4 linked regions of the Drosophila melanogaster genome follow. The protein of the gene in region 1 interacts with the protein of each later gene in a pairwise test. Each region holds a gene or a part of one and is shown in the gene's direction. Other genes may lie near its edges. The genes, in order: CG17233, Cpr56F, CenG1A and CG12655.

Region 1 (5,483 bases):
GCATTCATTAGACAAAACGATGATCGCGGCTATGTTATAGCAGCAATAATAATATTTTATGTATCATAAATTGGAATATACAGCGAATACTTTCAATAATAATTTTCATATTCAACTCAATGTGGTTAGGCGAGTGCGTAATTAAAACTACCTAGGTGCTCTTCTGCACCTGGATGGGATTCTGCTTGAGGTGCAGGTAGATGGATCGCATGCGGGAGACGTCCTTTCCCGCCTTGTTCACCTTGGGATTGAAGTCGCAGAGCTTGGCTATGCGCTCCCATTCGGTGCCCGGCTCGATGGTGCCATTCTCCAGGGTGGCGGCTTGTTTCTCGGCATTCCGCGACGCCAGTTTGGTCTTCGATATGGACTCGCCAATCTGGCGCAACCAGTCGTCCAGCTCCTTCTTGGACTGCTGTCGGAGTTCCTCCTTTTTTCGCTCCTCCTCGATGTCCTTCTCCTCCAGTCGTTGCTTTTGCTCTTCGCGCCATTTGCGTATCTTTTCGGGCTCTTCCCGCGACGGCGGCGGACCGGATATGCCCACGGGTTCATTGGACTCGCCACCAATGACCTCAAAACTGCCAGTGGAGGATTCGAGGCCACCCGTGCCGCCAGCAGAGAGCAGATCGCCTTCGGAGGCGGTGCCTCCCAGAAGCTCACCCAAGCCCTCGTCTGTGGATGCAGCCGGAGGAGCTGATGCAGATCCACCCGTAATCTCCGCCTCCAAGTCCCCGAGAGCTGACTGTTCGCGCGCCAGGAACTCGGCCGCCGGATCCACGTCCTCCTTGGCAGCGAAATCGTCTCCGAAGTCCATGGCTATGTGCTCTCTGGAAATGTTGTGATTGCTATTTAGTGGGCGTCTCACCCAGATTTACACGTACGCAGAGGAGCAGCCAGCTGCTGGCGGATTCCCCCCGATTCATTGACAATTGGGCACTACGCACCTCTCCTTTGATTCGGTTAGGACTAATTGAAGATCGGTGTGGGCGGATGACTAACCGGAAACTTGGTCAAATGTATTTTTTCAGTTTTCTTTTAGCAATGAATACGTAAAATGACTGTCATTAGTACGTGAACCAACCATAAAACAGCGGGCTATCGAACTGGTTCCAGCCGAACAGTGCTGGATAATGCAACATATATCGCAACGCGATGGTTTTAAATTTAATGTTATGATTTTTATATTAAAAAATAAATATTTTTTTACACCAGTTATTATGCCAAATCTTTTAAATGTATACAAATTAGTAATATTTAAGGAACAGAAACCATTGTTAACTATTTTACTTGTCAAAGCCGAATTCAACATTCCTTAACATCACGGATAACGAGTTAAAGATTTAGCTACATTTTGTATTATTAAGCTACAAGTTTATGATAATGTATGTTGAAAAAACCAAAGTAAGAACATTTAATTTTTCCTTAACTAAACTTTTAAATTATATCAGCAGCGTCAATTTTCCACTGGGTTTCTGGTCAATTAGTGTTGCAAAATGTGTAATGGTGGTGGCTTGATTCGTTCATATATAATTTAGAACCGTACATATAGTTAATAAAACCTAGATTTAATATAATATTTAAGTTTGGAATTATTTTATTTTTTTTTTTGTTTTCAGATTTTGTAAAGTTCTCATGGTTTTTGAAATCAACTAGTTCCAATTGATCAGTGTTAGGAAACGCGCGAGTTCAGTAAACACAACCTTCAGAGGAGTTACGATTAATTTGTTTATATCTTATCAAATGTGCCTTAATAAATGCTCGTAAAATGTAAATACACAACAAAGTTAACTAGTAATGACTGTAGACCCGATAAAAAGCGTATTATACAACACTTGTTGCTATTGCATAGCACATGGGAATATAATTGCTGGTCAAATTTCACGGTGAATTGTTCACACAACATGACTTAATTATGTTTTTGACTAACCTATGCCACGAAGAACACAAGACGCAGTATACTTTTTGAGGAAATTAACAAAGACGAAATGCGAGGACGACGGCAAAACAAACAATAAACACTCGGCGCGCGAACTAGTGAACCGATGAACAAGTTCACCGTGGCATCATTCACCTGAGCCAGTGGTTCGTTTTTCACTGGCAGCAGAGCGGCCATTTTGGAGATTGTTTCATCCACAAAAAAGTTATGCACCGAATCTAAAAAAAAGAACGTTCGCTGTTAGTTAAACATAAAATCCGCTCGTGCATATTGAAGCGTTGTTGTGCTGGCCGATCCGATGTGAAGATAATGCTGGGCCCGAGCAGACCGACAGTTCCGATTCTATAACGACTAAAAGTTAGTGACTATCTTCCAACACGCACGCATGTACGCCCGTGTGTGTGAGTATGTGTGTGTGTGTGTGTGATTGTGTGCATGGATACATATATGTACAAGCGGAAAATACGGGAAAAAATCCTATTCCCAGGCAGAAAAACATTGCCAAAAACAGCATAAATCCCAGCCAATGTGATGGCCCCGTCATTGTAATGTCATAAGTGAGCACCCACATTAACCCATTGACGCTGAAACTTCAAAAATGCGGTCTCCTTGCCGCCGAGCGCCAAGGCAAAAAATACAGACGCCAATTTTTTTGAAGGGGGAACCAAGCGCATCGTGGCCAAAAGGGATACAAAAAAAATGAAGATACGAAAAAAATAGGGGGATCCCTTCAGTGCAGAAAAGTTGGGGAACAAACACCCCAAAACTGGAGTGTTTCATTCTAAAGTGTACTTCTACTATGTGTTTATTGATTTACAATAAAAGATAAACAAAATATGTTTGACCACATATAAATATCAATAATTTTATAGTAATTATTATTGATCCATAAATAACATTAATTGAATTCGCGCCTTTTTCCCCTCTATATTATGAATGCCATGGCAAGCAACTTGTGATAACAATATAAATATGTTATAATCTAAGCTACCGCTAAATTGATAAATATGGGCGGGATTTTTAGACTTAACACATGACCATTGGAAATGTATCCGAGCAATAATAAACTCCAATTAGTTAATCCTTTACATATAAGCCGCTAATTATATTCAAAAACCACTAAAGTTTTGCTATTTGTTTCAGTTACCAGCCATCAGCAGTAGAAGAGCCCAAGCCAAACATGGATCCCAATTCCAGTCCCTGGTCATACGCCTACAACCGCATCGTGCCCGCCAGTGCCGGAAGCTCCGGCGGAACAGCAGAGGACTTCCAGCATCCACACCTGGCCACCATTACGGCAGCAAGCATCGCCAGCTTTAATGCGGCGGCCGCCAGTGGTGGCAGCTTTGTGCCTCCGTCACCGATTGGCAGCTACAACCCAGTATTCCAGCAGATCTACCACCATGCGGCGGCGGCCAGTGTCCAGCCTAAGCCCGCCCACTATGCCTCGTCAGCGGTGAGCACGCCGCACCGCCAGCTGCAGCTGCCCAGTTCGCTGGACAAGCAGCTCAGTTCGTTCCAGAACCAGGCGGCCGTGTCGGCGGCAGCGGCTGCTGTAGTCAACAATGTTGCCTCGAACTATTACGGGGAGAACTCCTCGTCGAGTGGAGCCTCACCATCGCCCACAACGGTGGCCCTGACGTCGACGTCGCTGACCTGGAACACGCCGAACATGATATCGAACACCTTCCTGGCCATGCAACAGCAGCAGGCACAGCAGCAACAGCAGCAGGCACAACAGCAGCAACAACAGGCCCAACAGCAACAGCAGCAGGCGCAACAGCAACAGCTAAACCTGGTGGCCGACAAAGTGGTGAGTAGAATTCGTTTGTTTTACGTTCGGCTTTCAGATCACTCTTCTATTATGGTTTACGCCAGCTTCTGGGGAAGCACACACACTTATTAAAACCCCGCAGGCTCTATCGCATTTATCGCATACTAACATAACATCCCTTCCAATAAACCCATCAAAGCATAGACTAAGTCTAGCCTCTCTATGTCGAATCAATCCCAAACCAAACACTTTCCGATTCCGATTCAATCTATGTACGGTGCGCTGTAGCAGATTAAGCAGGAAAAGCAATTAAAAGCCTACAACGACTCGATTTACCTGATCCAACTGCAACAGCAGCAGCAGCAACAACAGACAGCGGCGCAGCAGCAACAGCAGCAGCTCCACCAGCAACTGCAACAGGAGATCGCCGAGGCAGACACAGAACCGGACACCTATTACACCATTGATGGCCGGAAGGTCAAGGTGACGCGGAAGGATGGCCAGCCGTATCGGGCAACGATAGTAGACCAACAGGATGCCAGTCCGGTGCCGCTGGCAGTGCCAGTTCCGGCGGGATCCTATCCGGTGCAATATGCCAGTCCGGCGCTAAGCTCCGCAGATGGATCGCCCATCACGAATTTACATGCGGTGGACGTGGTCAGCACACCGCAGGCCCAGGTGATCGTCTACAAGACGGCATCCCCTGTGCAAAGGCGGCAAGAAGCGGGCGCTGGATCGTCTGCTGCTGCCACACCCACCACGGTGGCCTACTCATCTGTGATACAAAGCACCCTGCAGCAACAGCAGCAGCAGCAGAACCTCTGCTGGACGAAGCTGGAGGACAATGGAGCGGGGCAGGAGGACATTAAGAACGTGCTGCAGCTGCAGGTGAAACAGGAACATCGGCAGCTCGATTTTGCCAGTGAGGCATCCTCAGTGGACGCCGGTGGTGGTGGCGAAAATCTAGTTTTCAACCTACCGCCCGGGCTGGAGATCAAGCAAACCTTCTATCCCGCGAGCGTGGTCGATGGGGAGCAACTGCAGCTGCAGGAGCACAATCAAAACCAATCCCAGTCCTCCGGTCGGCGCCAGCACGTGGTGGCCAACATGATCATGTCGCCGTCGGCGGGCAACTTAGCGTCACAGATTCAAGTAGTGCCAAAGGTTTGTATTTAATTTTTTTTATTTCCGTTTCTATTTGTTTATTAATTTGTTTGTGTTCTGCCTTTATTTCGTTTTATTTGCTTTTCACACTATTTCTTCCAAGATTTTGCCAACTTAAATGGACTAGTTTGGAAGATCTCTTATTTAGTTCCACTGTGCGCTTTTTCTTTCTGATTGGCTAAAAATAAATTTGAATTAACAAAACGTACCTTAACAGACTATTGGTAGCTTACATAAAAAATCTCATTTGGACGCAAAATTTCCAATATTTATTTTAATTAAGAATTTGAAACCTACATTTATAGAAGTACTAATTAGATTTTCTTGCTTTCAAATACTAGAAGTATCCAGTTTCCCGAATATAAGGTTATTTCGTTAAAGCCCTGTTCTGTAGCTTTATATTTTAAAAAAAATTTGCATGCCCTTTCGATTATTTCTTGTATTATGGTGGAAGCTATTTCTTTGGCCTTCTGTTATTAATCGCTTAATTTGAAATTCTTCGGTTCAATCTAACAAAAACTGCTAACTGATATTCTCTAGTTTAAAGTCATGTGGCCACTTTGAAACTGTGACGTTATGTTGTAATGGTATGATCCAATCCTAATGGGGGTA
Region 2 (6,240 bases), on another chromosome or scaffold:
ATTTATTTAATTGTTTTGCTTACATTTCAAGATTCATATTAGCCATTATGAAGTCAAGTCTTAACTGCTCTGCTATAATTTCTGTTTGTTTATTTGAATTTTTCGCATTCGCATATTTGCACACATAACTCCAAATGATCTTGGTAATTACAAAAGCTTGGCTGTATATTCTCTAATTTATTTTTATTGTGGTCTGTGGCAAGGTCGAGTATTACTTGCAGAAAATCACTTGGGGGAATACGCAGCGAGGAAGCAATTCCATCCCACCCCATCCCTTCAATCCCTTCAATACCTCATTAATTTCCAGCTCATTTGGGGCGTGGCTTCGCACGGCCTTTAAATTTACAACTCATAAACTTGGCATTATCGAATGTGAAAGTCAGCTCGTGCCAAATCGCAAAATAAGCAGGGTCCGTTATAACAAAATGATAAAAATTTTAATTTGCTACGCATTCGACCAATGAGCCAAAAGACAATTGACCAAAGAAATATTTGCAGATCGTGATGGATGCTACGCCCACTGTTTAAATGAACATGGAATATGGCAATAAAAATATTGAATTACTTTTCCCTATTGTCAAGTATTGTGTTCGAGTATTTTTAAAGAGTTCAAGTTTCCTTTGTTATGCAATCGACTTTTTAATGGGATAAATAAGTATCCAAAACTATTGAGCATACACATTTCAATACGTTTTGCAGGAAATGGACAAATAGAAAAAAAAATTATGTTATTTTTTTTAAATATGTGTTTATTTTAAAACTTATTTCTCTCTACAAATTATTTGTTTATAAAGTAAATATATAAATAAATTGATCTCATTTAAATTGGAGCAATGTTTCACCCATAAATGAATGTTGAAGAGATCTTTAGGTAATTTTGATTCGCAAAGCAACTACAAGCCGTTACTAATGCTCAGTTTAATAACAATCAACATTTTCGACACCAGAGCGTATCTTTCCCAGCAAGGAAGATAACGTATCTTAAAACTCTTTTTCCCTCGCTGTGCTCACAGCTCAATTGCAGCTTATCCGACTTGAATCCATGTCAACGCCAATCCAAACGGACACATTTGTGAAGTCGGGGGCATAATCCAGCTCATTAGTTGTGCTGAAAAACAAAACCGAGCAAAACCCAGCGAAAACTCCCACGCACTAAGGGGAAACAATTTGCAGCAGCATTGCCTGCAGCAAGTTCGTTGCCTGAGTCTTTTGTTTCTGCTTCGCCTTTCGAGGCGGCCGCCGCTGAAGCTGCCGCACGACTGAAGCTGAAGCCTCCGATGCGAGATGAAGATGCGTGGAGCAGCTGCCTCCGCTCACTTGGCTTTTGGACGCTACCGTCGACGTCGCTGCCCGCTGCCTGCTGCATGACTAATTCCATTACAAATAAGTGTTTCTGCTATTACACGAGCGGCAACAAATGTTTATGGCCTGCAGCCGCAGGAGCGCGGTACTCCCTCGTCTCATTTGTTTGAATGTTTGGCACTCATCTTCGCTCATTTGCCGAACCCGACCGCAGATACGAAGTCAGCATCGTCAAAATGTTTGGCGCTTTAATTTCCAAAGTAACTAGTTTACTATAACAAATCCACCTCAAGCGATTTCCCTCTTTTCTCGGCAGCACCACCGAGAGCGATTTGCTCTTCCTCAGCTCCGTGTGCTTTGCATTATTTTGTAATGTTTTTCAAGTGCTCGTTCGGCACTGTGGCACTCATTTTTTTCTCGACTAACCGAAAATTGAAATAACGAACTAAGCTGAACAAAAAACACACACATTTTGGCGCGCAATTTTTTGAAGCCGACGTCGACGCCGCCGCGTTAGCTGCTGCTCATTTCAAATATAAATACTGGCCTACGAAATTGTTTCAGTATCACAATCAAGTCAACCATCTTCGCAAGAAGAACACAGCCAACAGAGCAAAGTTAACAAAAACCGTTTTCGTGTGTGCCAAAATCCCAAACAAGTGACAACACAAAATGAAGGTATATAGCCGAATAGAACTTTCGAGTCAAGTGCCAAGTGGTGTGCTGTGTGAAAAAAAAAAGTCCTCACAAAAGGATATGGGCAGCCAAAACGAAATACAATGCCTCATTCGGCATTCGGGAAACGATATGACTAAAGGATATAAAACTTGAATAGCTATAAAGATCATTCAATATAGGTCCTTTATTAGATACAGTTTCGACCTTTTGTTAAATTTTCAAAGGATATTGAAGTTTGCTGTAGCTAACATACAAACAACGTTGGGTTACAAAATCTTAGAATGATCAAATAAACATCACAATATTTGCCCATATCTTTTTCTGCATTGCAAAGGTGCTAAAATATGTTCGAATTTTGTATTCATTTTTCTGTATCCAATCAATAGCCCTCATTTAAAATCGTTTTTGGCAATAGATCGATCAATCAATTAAACAACTCATCAAACTAATGAAGCTTTCATTGTCTCACATAGCACTTAATCAGCTAATCGGAAGGAAAAGACATGAAATATTAATATTTGAGCCATATTAAAAGTCAAGTTCAGCTGGGTGATTAATCAAGCGGAGATCCGCATAATAAATTTCATAAGTTGCCATCATCATCGCAGTTAAGATTACCATCAATTTGTTTAGGATAGCTACTGTTTTTTATGGTAGGTTGCGGAATTAGAACACCGATATCATTCGCCTGGGAAACAATTGCAACCAGCGATCCCAGTTCATTTCTAGGGTGTGGGTAACAAACAGAAGCAACAACAGCTGCCGCTGCTTGGGGTCATTTTGCAATGAATAAATTAGAGAAACTTTAAGTGGCGGAAGAAGAACTACTGGACATGCCCAAGTAAGGCAGTCTGGAGATGACCAGGCGGCGATAAAAAAAAAATACAGACAAAAGCGCAGCCAAAAAGCATAGCATTTTAACGCCAATGAAGCATGAAAGTCATTGACGGCCCTGTGCCTAAACACTCGGCCAGAAGATCTTTTGCACAAGATTCGGAAATAAGTTGTGTAAGAGTGAGCCGAAGTGGTTCTCCCACAGGTTGTCCGCGCCACACGGCGAATACTTAAGATTCAGACGCATTGCGCAAGATCACGAGATTAGCCCTTCACTTGCAGCCCAGCTAAATCCAATCCAATCCGATGGGAGCTTCACCTGGGACCCAATTACTACAGATTTGCATATGCCTCAGCTAAATGCTGTAAAGATGGGAAAGACAAAGCCAATTCTGGGCCTGCTCGCAGGCCATCAAATCCAAACAAAAGATTGTCAAGCGGGTCACAGCCTGAGCAGTTATTGTTATGAGAGTTTAATGAGCTGGCAGCCAGCCGGGCGAACAGTGCCCACTTATTCGAGAAGTACGCGACAGTTGCTTATGAGAAATTTTAGCTTTAGGATCAAATGTGGGATGGGCTATCGATTTCTCCTACTGGCGTCATTGTCACATCTTTTTGGATCTCAGCGGCAGTACGGTAGGCCGTGGGGTGGATTTTAAAGCCATAAAGCCTGGGAAAACATAGTTACATTAGTTATACATTATTAGTAACTACCTTAAAAACATAGGGAAATAGAAGGAAACACAGGAAACGGAAGATCTAACCTGGGCACAAACTTCTGCTTTGCCCGCTTGGGCCTAGCATCCGGTTTCTCCATAAAGAACATATGAGGGAATCCAGTGCCAAAGAAGGCTCCATCCAGATTCGAATGTCTCGACGCCTTGGGAATGTACACATCATTGCACTTGGGGCAATAGATGCGTACCATATCCTCGCCAGGATTATCACTCAAACCAATGGGCAGCACCGGCTGGCTATGGCAGAATGCACGTGGACATGTGCCGAATTCGCCCTTGTTGTACTTGTCCAACATCAGTTCGATGCCCCTGTTGGTTAGGATAAAGCGAGCATGGATCAAGCCATACAGTTTCTCTGCACTAGCCTCCAGTTCTGGTTCAGCGGGGTCTTCCGAAGCTGAACCCGGATTAAGATCCAGGATCACCTCCAAGGCACATTTGTAGTTCTTAACGTTCGAATCAAGAAAGTTAAGGTTAAACTTGTCCTGGATATATTCCTCATCCACCTCGCAAAAGAATTCGTTGCCACGCTGCTTGCAAAACCAATGAATCCAGGAAGATTCGTCCGAATCGGTCATAGCTGCTTCTTTTAAGCTTTAATTTAATCAGTCAAAATCACGAGAGCTTAACAATAGGACTTATTTAATTTCGAATGACAGCTGTCAGGGACGGAGTGTTCAATCAAGGGTTGTCAACTCAAAACGAAAACTGTAATGTAAATGCAACCCTGAATTTTCATTCCCAGGCTTTTACATCCATTGCCCTGCTCGTGTGCCTGGCTGCCTGGACCCATGCGGAACCACCAGTTCCCCAGAACCAGTACCTGCCCCCCAATCAGTCGCCTCAGGCGCCGTCCAACAACTACCTGCCGCCCACGCAGGGCTACCAGTCGCCGTCGAGCAACTACTTGCCACCCCAGCGGGCCGGTGGCAATGGAGGAGCGCCCAGCAACAGCTATGGCGCCCCCATCGCTCCTCCCCAGGGTCAATATGGTGCTCCAGCGCTGACTGGTGCCATCTTCAAGGGCGGAAACGGAAACGGAAACGGCGGCTATGGCGGCGGTAATGGCAACGGCAACGGCTACGGACAACGGGATGAGGAGCAGTATGGACCGGCCAAGTACGAGTTCAAGTACGACGTACAGGACTACGAGTCGGGCAATGACTTCGGCCACATGGAGTCCCGCGATGGTGATCTTGCTGTGGGCCGCTACTACGTCCTGCTGCCCGATGGACGCAAACAGATTGTTGAGTACGAGGCCGACCAGAATGGATACCGCCCAACCATTCGGTACGAGCAGGTCGGCAATGGCAACGGAAACGGCAATGGCAATGGTCGCAACGGTGGCGGTTATGATAGCAACGCGCAGCAGGGCAAATTCAACGGCTACTAAGATGGGGAAGTGAGGATACCCGATTTAGGTCGACCCCGCAACTATACTCGTCTACTTCATGGGATCGCTGGCCGAGTATTAAACGCACATCCAGCCAGTGGGCCAGCGATCGCAGTCAGTCTATCCATATAACCCTATTCCCATCTCTGTGCATACCCTTAGTGGGACGCCCGCCATTTTGCCATAGACAGGCGCGTTCCTTTCCGTTTCCGTTTCACTGCTGTTCGTTATCCTGTTTTCCGTCTCTACACCTGGAACTCCTTGCCGTTTTGTTTTGTTTAAGCGCCTTCATTTTGTGTTAGTCTACGCACACACTCCAACACACCATTCACCCACAACATGACCATTACGCATTCATACATACATGCATAAGGATTGTATTTAGTTTTTAAACGAAAATGGAAATTCGAAAGTGAAACGAACTTATGAGATTTTTGTGTATATTTAATAATTATTAAATGAATAAAGAAGCATTTTTGTATAAAACAAAGTCAAAAAGAAAAACCAAACTGTTTTTATAATTAACAAGATAATTCATTCTGAGAATTGAATACATTGCACAACTCTATTTTACATATTCAAATAGCTATATCCAAATTGCCTACTTCAGGACCCGCTCCAGTTGTCCCTGTCTGTTGTATCGATACACAGGATCCTTGAGTTGCCCCACAGTGGAGTAAGTCAACTGAGCCGTAAAATCATCTGCATCTGCATCTGCGTTTTGCTGGGAGCTGAAAGAAACTCTTTGTAGTTTATTGTCCTGCGAAATGACGAAGTAACGTCCCTCTCTGATTTTGGGCTGCTGATTGTCTACGATATTTTTTGCAGTAACTGGCTCCTCATCATCAGGATAAATGATTTTAAATTTCGGATCTGCCGGACCGTACTTGTTGGACGGTCGTGAGGTGGGCAAAATCTCTTCCTCGGGTATATCCAGTTGATTTGGAGGCAAATAATTTGGCTGGGGCTTTTCCACTGGATCGAACTGGTCCACTCGTGCCTTTGTGATTTCTACTCCCTGACTTGATCGGATAGCAGGCACATACTCGTTGGGTAAGTTGAATGGAATCTGCGGATGCCAACCAGTTGGTGCATAAGGTGCTATACGTCCACCGGTAAAATCCACTTCAGCTTGTACAATGGCCACAAATGGCAGCAGTAGAAGCAACTTTAGGAATGCCAAAAAGATTTACGTAAAAATGTTTATTAAATAGCCACATCATACCTTTGTCACCATTTTAATGAACGGCTCGATTGAAACTGCGGTGCAATATTTGGGATTTGCTCATTTTTATA
Region 3 (5,092 bases), on another chromosome or scaffold:
AAGTGGAATCCTACCGCAGGCGTGTGCTTCGAGTATGATCCGGACAACTCCATGCGACACACTCTGTATCCCAAACCTGATGAGTGGCCAAAGAGCGAGCACACCGAACTGGAGGACGACCAGTACGAGGCGCCCTACAACTGGGAAGCCAAGCCAAACAAGTTCTTCTTCAACGTCGAATCCGCCGGTGCCCTTAAGCCTGAGAACATTGTGGTCATGGGTGTGCAGGTGCTGAAGAACAAGCTGTCAAACCTGCAGACGCAACTCAGCCACGAGTCCCAAAACGATGCATTGGCCGTTTGATTTACATATAACAAGTTTATTTTAAGTTTATAAAAGATGTTCCGCCTAATCCTTGAACAAGCTGTCTATGTTAATGCCCACGTTCGCTTCCTTTTTTCCCTTGGGAGCAGGTGGTGCTGGTGACGACGTGATTTGCTGGCTCACCACAGCCTCCTTGAAGTCGCTCAGCAGCTGGGACTTGGATTCCGAATCCTGCTCTGGCAGGCATTCCTCTGGGGTAGTCTCCAGGCGGGCCTGCTGGCGCTGCTCCGCCAAAAGATCCAGTGCGGTCTCGTAGATCCTTTGCTCATCCAGGGCTCCTTGTCCTTTCAGGTCCTGGTATATTTGGACAAATTGCTGTGACTGCGTGCTGCGCCTGTGGTCAAACAGGGATATCGTTTCCTGGGGTTTGTTTTCTTTATGCAGCTTTCTGTTGGTGTACAAGATTAGTTCAGTATTGGTATAAGCCCGACTGCAGGTGAAAAACATACGCTCGGACAACATCCTCGGCATAAAATATCTGGCGCACTGGAATCTCAGGCGCGGGTCTGTCGAATCGGGGCTCCAGTTTCGGCGGAAAGGCGGCGTACACATCGTACCAAATGGGTTTATCCTCGGTTTTCATAGCTCCACCGCGTAGGAGGCCCTGAACTCTGCAAGAGTCGGGTGTTTAAAGCTTGCACAGATATTTCGTAGGAGGGTAAATACCTGGTGAAGATTGTGCCAATCTTTTCAAGCCTACTTTGTGCCATTTTGGTAAAGTTTTAATTAATTAAATGTGTTTTTTAACAAATTACGATTACGACATGCAGTGCATGAACTTATCGGTAAGCAGCCGGTGCCTATCGATACCATCAGAGTTGCCGCTGTGAGCTTAACGGACTTATGGCTTATAAGAGCCTAGAGCGCTCCAATTGGCATTTAGACGGCAAGTGAAATATTTATTTTTTTAAATTGGTTGAATTGTAGTTACAAAGATATTGACTTAAAATCTATTCATATATATGGCACTTAATTGAAATAAATTAACTACATTATGTTACTATCGATACCAGTCCAAACAAATATAGTATTTATGTCTATTACGGTGATTTTTCTGGTTGGCGTTTTTGGTATTTCTCGTGCACTTCATAGTACAGTGCTTACTCCATAAGTGTAATATTCCGAATTAATCCCGTGATTACATGTGTGTCTGGTGTAATGAAATCACTGTACACTATCTAACCATTACTTGTAAATTAATAGTACAAAATCTTGTTAGTTAAAAATTAATCACCCACTTGAGTTGGTGGAAGTTCGCTCTGTAGAGTGACCACTGTACCTGCTCTTCATCCACAGTTTGTTGTGGAACGCCTCGCACCAACTACATACTTTTACATACTCGGCTGCGCTCGACGTAAATTCTCGCACTTTTCTGTTGGTTTCGTAGTAAATTTTCGCCTTTTCGCTGTCAAATAAAGCGCACGCATCGGGAAAAACGGAGAAAAGTGCAAAATAACTAAATATAAAGTGTATCAAATATAACTGTTAGAAAAATGCCATTTGATTGTGTACTGTAATAGCGTAAACAAAAGTGTTTTGATTGTTTGTGCAGGTGCAAAATCGATCTAGTGAACTGAAAACTGCGACTCCAAAATCGGTCGAGTTAGCGCATTTATTGCCCCGATTGTTGTTATTGGAAAATGTTGTTCGTTTGGGAAAACTGTGCCATCGCAATTTTGTAGTGTTCGTGCCTGTGTGTGTGCCGTGTGTGCGTGACGAGTGTATGTGCCAGTAAATTAAGTTAATTAAAAACTTAGCTAACTCTCGATTCCACCGCCCCCGCCATGAGTAACTACCATCCGCATTCGCATCCGCACGCGCTCTCGCATCCGCATCCGCAGCAGGTCCATAATCAGCTGCAGAATCCCCACCAGAACCAGTTGCCGCCCCCGCAACGCCATAACCATGCCGCGCCCACTGCAGCAGCCTCCGCCTCCGGAGCGCCATCATCATCAGCATCGGCATCGGCATCAGCATCTATCCTGGTGGCCCATCCTCCCCAGCCGCTCATCAGCAACTCGCTGGCCATCCGGCAGGAGATCCAGCGATTCGAGAGCGTCCACCCATCCATCTATGCCATATACGAACTGATCGATCTGCTGCCCATGGCCGATGCCCAGATAGCCCAGTCCATTCGGGACCATGTGGTCTGCATTGAAGGTAAGTCCCCCTCTATTAGTGCACCTAGTTTAATGATTATAATTAGTTACACTAGAGTTTAGCCATTGAATGGTAAAGCGGTTTCTGTAATTAGTTTTGCAATCAAAGTTTATGTTTGTCCACCTGTTTATACTGTAAATATTGCAGGCTTAACTTCCTATTAAATGGCAATAAGGAGATCAAGTGGCCTAATTGTCCAATTAGATATTGCTGAAAAGTTTATGATGTTTAGCTTAGGTTTCGAGTTATAGATTCTCATTTCCACCTGTTAATACTAAGTCTATCCAATTTGGGTCGTTACACTCTTTGTAATAAATAAATAAATGTGATTAGTATAGCATATAATGTTTATAAGATGTACGACCAAACCCGACTTAACCTGAAAGTATTTTAATGAATATATTTCAACGCTTAAGTGCTTGAAAGCAGCTGCACAAATGTTTTGCTAGAAAATAGGCTTTTAAACGTAAAATGTGTAAGTGCTAGATTCCAAATATAACAGTACTCTTATTATATATTTCGTTTGTTTTTTAATGGCTTGCAAATTTATGCACCATAACAAGGAAATGCTCTGCTTGTGAATTCGAAACTTTTGCTCAAGGGTCACTGGTTTTAATGGAGCATTCGGAGGTGTGCCCCAGAAATGATGAGCAACTAAATGTGCTATAAATTATGCAAAGACACAGTAAAGAAAAGGGTTTCAAAGTCGGAAAGTGGAGTCTATCGTGACTTTCGATGGACTGACTGGTCGTCCCATTGAGTGTGTCAAGTCGGCGGGAAGAGATGCGAATCCTTTGATTAAACATGTTTATCGCTGCAATTGTATCCACACCTTCATTGTGCCCCTTATCGCGAGCGTCTGGACTTGTGGTTGCCTTTGTTTGGAGTGCTTTATGCTAATCTTAGACCGAAAATCTATGAGGCAACATCAACCCCCGGTTGATGGCGAGGATTATTGTTGCCAAAATGCCCATTCAAGCGGATCGCAGCGGGCCCATTGAAAGTGTTGTCGCTCTGTTCATGGAAAAGAAAGAGCTTCGTTTTTTGTTTAAAACAAGCTTTTCTGCCCAATTTTCAGCATGTGTGTGTGTGTGTGTGTGTGTTTGTATGCGGGGACTGAAATTTGATGCCCTCTTCCTCTTTGTGGCAGGCAGCAAAACTGAATACTGAAAACTGAAAACCGTTCACGAAATCAAACCGAAAACCGGTTCCTGAAATGGTTTATTAGAAAATCTCTGGCAGAGGCAGCAACAACGAAAGGCTCACCAAAAATGTAAACAAAATTGTCAGAGGCAGCGGCAGCGGCAGCAACCTCATGAATACTCGAATACTCCACTCTGTGTCGTGCAAACCAGATATGTACGAAACCCGAGAATACGAGAGCGTACGATCTCGTAAACCGTTTCGCACGCGACTTTCTTATTGGCATTGACCCGCAACACGGGCACATTGGTCCAATATGTACAAATATATACATATATAACTATATCGAATACCGATTCTAATTCGCTGTCAGCGTGATGAACGATGCTTTCGTTGGACTCTGGTTGCCGTTTTCCCGTTCCAAATGCTTATTTATAGGTTTCGGTAACGGTCTCCAATAAATCGAGAAGGTCAAAAGTATCTAACGAAAATAAATAAAAGAAATTCTGTGCTATCTGTTCGTTAACCTTTTCATTTGAAATCGATTTAGAAGCTATATAGCATAAATAATCATACAGCAGCTTACTATACATAGCTTACTACTTAACAAATAAAAACGTTTATGGACAATAATCTAAAGAATCGATATAATCTCAGAACTTAATGCCCGTTTTTTTTTTTTTTTTGGTTAAGAGCTCTTGCGTTTAAAGTGCCCCCTTAATATTGTAAGCTGCTGACTCACCGAAATCAGTTCGAGTCTTAAACCACATTTAACTGCTAAGATGTCATTGAACTTTTAGCGAATCAAAGTTTAGTTACATATTTAAAAGGCACTCAAGAAAAATAATGTGTTGCTGATTATTTACGAATGAGATTTTTATTTATGTATCTTATAGAATTTGATGCTTCCTCAGCGAGATTTGTAATCCAATTAGGCCAAGGCCTTGATATTTTAGACAAAATTCAGCAACAATGGCTGCTTAAATATTTCTGTAAACTGCGTACTATTGTGTGTGTGTGGCTACATGTGCCGTCTAAAATTAGCATATGAAGCTATAAATGGGGATCCATAAACAATAGAAAGGCTGTGCATTGAGCTTCTAGTAAATTAAATCGATTACACGATATCAGCATATCAATGGCAATTTTTACTACAAATTGATAATTCCATTAAGGGGGGTGTTCGTTTGGCTGAACATAAATAACCTACCTGGAATTCTTGTTCGATTGTTCGCGGTGTTTATGCAAACACAAAGGCGTGTTGTCTGTTTGGTTTGTTTGTAAATAGCCAAGTAATAGTCGGCCCTAAAAACAACAACAACAACGGCAGTCAGTTGAAATGCCGCTGGCGGTAGTGAAAAACAAATTTCCTCTCTTATCTCAAATGGCTTGCGACTGCCCATTAAAGCGATTGCAATTAGCCCCAAACGAATTTTTCTGTTGATCTACCCTTTCGCAGAGTGGG
Region 4 (3,621 bases), on another chromosome or scaffold:
TTTCACTCGGCGCTGGGAGTCGGGTGGTTGGACTCCCTCGAAAATGGAAAAACCATAACACAAACGTATTAGATGAGCAAAACACACACAAACAGAGAGAGAAATGCGTGGCAGGAGGGAGCGAGTTGAACCCATTGCCGGAGAACGTGGTCCACTGCGCAGGATCTGTTTGAACGGTGGCAACGCTTCGCGCAACGAGTTGCCAGACAATCACAGTGCCCTTCAACAAGCTATCGGTTTAACCCACGTAATCGAGTATCCAAAGCTAACGATTCTCGTAATTCTCAATTAATCAGCTAAATTTGAATACCAGTTACTCGTAGAGTAGAAGGTTATACTAGATTCGTTAAAAAAGCATTGTAACAGGCAGAATGAAGCGTTTCGAACTATATAAAGTATATATATTCTTGATCAAGATCAATAGCCAAGTCGATCTAGCCATGTCCGTCTGTCCGTATCTGTCCGTATCCGTAGATCTCAGGTACTATAAAAGCTAGAAGATTGAGATTCAGCATACAGCTTCTAGAAACAATGAATCCTGTGCGAGCAATGGCTATGAATAATGAACGTCAATGAACATGTCAGTCGAATGACAAAGTCACTATTCAATTTCACTATCTTCGGCAAAGCAGTAAAAATACAAGCATAAGGTATTGAATAGTCCATTAGCATAACCCTATCGGCCGACCTAAATTGCTTTACGTCACAACTGAGAAAGCAAACAATTCGCACATGCCCACCAATTGTATTGTGAGGCTTTTCGTTTTCTACATACATGTATGTACATATGTATATGTATGTTTGTATGTATTTTCCGTCGAACGGTAGCCACAACGTACCTGCATTGTTTGCCCGCCTCCGAACGCCACTCACCTGAAAAGTGCGAAACGGACGGACAACAATACACACATATATAAATATATATATATATATATATATTTGTTTATTTATATGCATATACAACATGCATATGTTAATATTTAGAAAAATATGTATGCAAAATATACTTGGTCATAAAAGATCAACGAAGGTTCGAATACAATTCGGGCGATCATCAAAGCACTGTGACTCGGCATTCCCCATTCGCCAGAAGATCTATGTACATATATGTATGTATGTATGTATCTCGACTTCTGGGGCAAACCAACATGGGAGCACACCTTAACCCAAAATGACCCCGGCCCGTGTCGTGCATATCATTAATGACCCAACCAATTATCGTGTTCTATACAGCAAAAAAAAAAAAAAAAATAACATCTCGACACTCGAACATGAAAGCACTTGAAGTTGCGTGTTCTCGTTTGGGAAAATAAAGTACGACCGCGGTTTTATGTTCTTTGATCGAAAAGAAAATAATCTCATCTGCATGTGGAACAAATAAACGATGAATGGATATGAACAATAAGAAGAATTAATACCACTAGTATAGCTAAATTTTATTTTGAGGATTCCTTAATAAAGCAGACGCAAATTAATTGAGAAAAGTGCGTCGACTAAAAGATACCCATTACCTGCAGCTAACCGAAACTATTTTGTTAATCTCAAGTCACAAGTCATATCTAATTACAGAGTGAGATAAATACAGGTTGTAAACTTGTAACAGAGAAAATTTTTGTGCAATTCGACTATATGATACCTAGTGGTAATATTTTACCCAAAAAGATTTAAGATGTTTAATCTGTTGTTTCGATTTTCGATTTCAGTGCTAAATAAAGTGCCTATTTTGATCATACCCCACCGAAACTACAGCTCCATTCAAATTGAGTAAATAAACACCAAATAATATGACTCAGGGCAGCAGAAAATCGCTATTGTTACTCATAACATGAGAGCCGAGCTTGGGAATCGAGTTTAAAACCGTCAATGGCACTTTGGAAGCGGTTTAGTTGAAGTCAAACGCGCATTCGGAAAACATGTCGAATTTCAATCGCATTCTGATCGTCATTGTTATCGGATTGGCACTAGTTCATTTTAGTGCTGGTGAGTGAAACGCTAACAGAACATATGAAAAATCGCACAAAAAATACGATAAATAAACATACGTATAAACCTCAGCGGCTTTTCCATGGAAAATAACACATCGCATTCGCACACACGATACCATTTCGACGGTGCCAAGTAAACAAATTCAATTTCAACTTCTAATGGAGAATTAAGCACTGCGATATTATCAGCAAATTATTGATCTCTTCTATTTGAAACCAAATATGAAAGCAAAATTTTTAAACTATTTGATTTAAAATGTGTAATAGTATTAGGTCTCATTTTGATAACGACCATGTAGCATGTTTGGTCCACGAGAAGTGGCGGGTACATTGTGGTCAAGGAAAGTTACCTTTTACATGCGTTACTAATTCAAGCACATTTCATTTGAATCCAGTGGATGCCCAGGCCGGAACGGTGCACTGGAACAATGGAAATGCGGCCGGCGTTGGCGTCTATTCGAGCGCCCAGTCCGGCGGGATGCATCCGCCGGGAAGTCTGAGTGGCCAGGATCCGCAGTTCAGCTACGGATACGCCGGCATCGATTCGCGTGGTACCTACGGTGGAGCGGGTGGCAATGGAGCCTACTACGTGAGCGGTACGGACGAGCACGGTCGTCCCTTCTCCTACAACAACCAGGTGGGCCATCCCGGCCAGCCGGGCTACATGGGCGTACGGCCGGACCCCAACTACCCGGGTACCTATGGCTACCAGAATGGCGGAGCAATCATCGGCAGCTCGGTGGGCGTCACCGTGACCATAGCACTTGGATTGGCCTTGGGCGGCATGAGATTTTGATGCGGTTGCAGTGTGGGATCGTTTTTTTTTTTTGTGAATTAGTCTCTAAGCTTAATTTATGTAAACTTTTCAGTTGTGTAAATTCTTTACTAAATTTACTAAAACATAGAATGCTTTTTACTGGAAGGTGGGTTGTTGTCAGAATGAATTAGTTGATTTGATTTTGGTAAGCCCAGAAGGCTTAGAGAACTACATTGAACATTACTAAACAAAAATTTATTCATAATAGTGAAAGTTTAAATTATTTTGTAAACGAAGCAAATTTGATATTCAAATGTCGCAAAAAAAATCGAATATTAGCCACCTGGTGATCCAGTGCATCGACGCCATGGGTGGCTTTGCCTCCAAGGAGGTGATCCTAAAAGCGGTGAGCACAGCTACAGACAAGAAGTTCTGGAAAATGGGAAGGCGAATTGATGACGCCCTTGATACGCTAATCGTTGATGGTGTGATCCGCACACATAACGACAACTATTATTTAAACATGCTAGAGGAAACAGCAAGTGCCAGTCACTGTAACAGTGGCAGTGGTAAGTAATCTTCGCATCAATGGTATGATTGGTGTGAAACAGTTAAAAGGCAGGTCATATCAAATTTTGTAATCAACATTTACATATTATTTACAGATTCAGATTCAGATTGAGTTTGGATTAAGAAGGTAAGATATATTAGAAAGGCATTTCGTCCATATAGTAAGACTCTTCTTTCTTTCCCAGAATTAGCTGATAAGCTCGAAAAATTCGGATGTATTCAAATTGTTGTACAATTATTTGCCATTTTTAAGAAGCTAAAATTATAAGTGGCAGGCCTCACTAAATTCAAACTTTCCAAGTGAAGCGA

Evidence for each region.
Region 2: the proteins of CG17233 (region 1) and Cpr56F interact in a two-hybrid assay, tested with the Drosophila melanogaster proteins (one large-scale study listed by BioGRID).
Region 3: the proteins of CG17233 (region 1) and CenG1A interact in a two-hybrid assay, tested with the Drosophila melanogaster proteins (one large-scale study listed by BioGRID).
Region 4: the proteins of CG17233 (region 1) and CG12655 interact in a two-hybrid assay, tested with the Drosophila melanogaster proteins (one large-scale study listed by BioGRID).

What each region holds. Positions count from the first base shown.
Region 1 is NT_037436.4:20,238,126-20,243,608, reverse strand, and holds the start of CG17233 (uncharacterized protein), read left to right. Parts: upstream 1-2,090; 5' UTR 2,091-2,334; exon of another isoform or gene 2,335-2,490; intron 2,491-2,502; exon of another isoform or gene 2,503-2,556; intron 2,557-3,076; 5' UTR 3,077-3,113; coding exon 3,114-3,746; intron 3,747-3,995; coding exon 3,996-4,871; intron 4,872-5,483. Other genes in the region: Clc (clathrin light chain), read right to left, coding at 152-811.
Region 2 is NT_033778.4:20,287,568-20,293,807, reverse strand, and holds Cpr56F (cuticular protein 56F), read left to right. Parts: upstream 1-1,862; 5' UTR 1,863-1,974; coding exon 1,975-1,980; intron 1,981-3,257; exon of another isoform or gene 3,258-3,375; coding exon of another isoform or gene 3,376-3,484; intron 3,485-3,578; coding exon of another isoform or gene 3,579-4,129; exon of another isoform or gene 4,130-4,263; intron 4,264-4,296; coding exon 4,297-4,944; 3' UTR 4,945-5,437; downstream 5,438-6,240. Other genes in the region: CkIIbeta2 (casein kinase II beta2 subunit), read right to left, coding at 3,376-3,484, 3,579-4,129; CG34199 (uncharacterized protein), read right to left, coding at 5,546-6,112, 6,170-6,181.
Region 3 is NT_033779.5:13,833,949-13,839,040, forward strand, and holds the start of CenG1A (centaurin gamma 1A), read left to right. Parts: upstream 1-1,615; 5' UTR 1,616-2,108; coding exon 2,109-2,484; intron 2,485-5,092. Other genes in the region: Polr2C (RNA polymerase II subunit C), read left to right, coding at 1-303; mRpS23 (mitochondrial ribosomal protein S23), read right to left, coding at 349-712, 774-935, 991-1,034.
Region 4 is NC_004354.4:19,957,660-19,961,280, reverse strand, and holds CG12655 (uncharacterized protein), read left to right. Parts: upstream 1-1,877; 5' UTR 1,878-1,913; coding exon 1,914-1,980; intron 1,981-2,380; coding exon 2,381-2,781; 3' UTR 2,782-2,888; downstream 2,889-3,621. Other genes in the region: CG43784 (uncharacterized protein), read left to right, coding at 3,056-3,311, 3,408-3,424.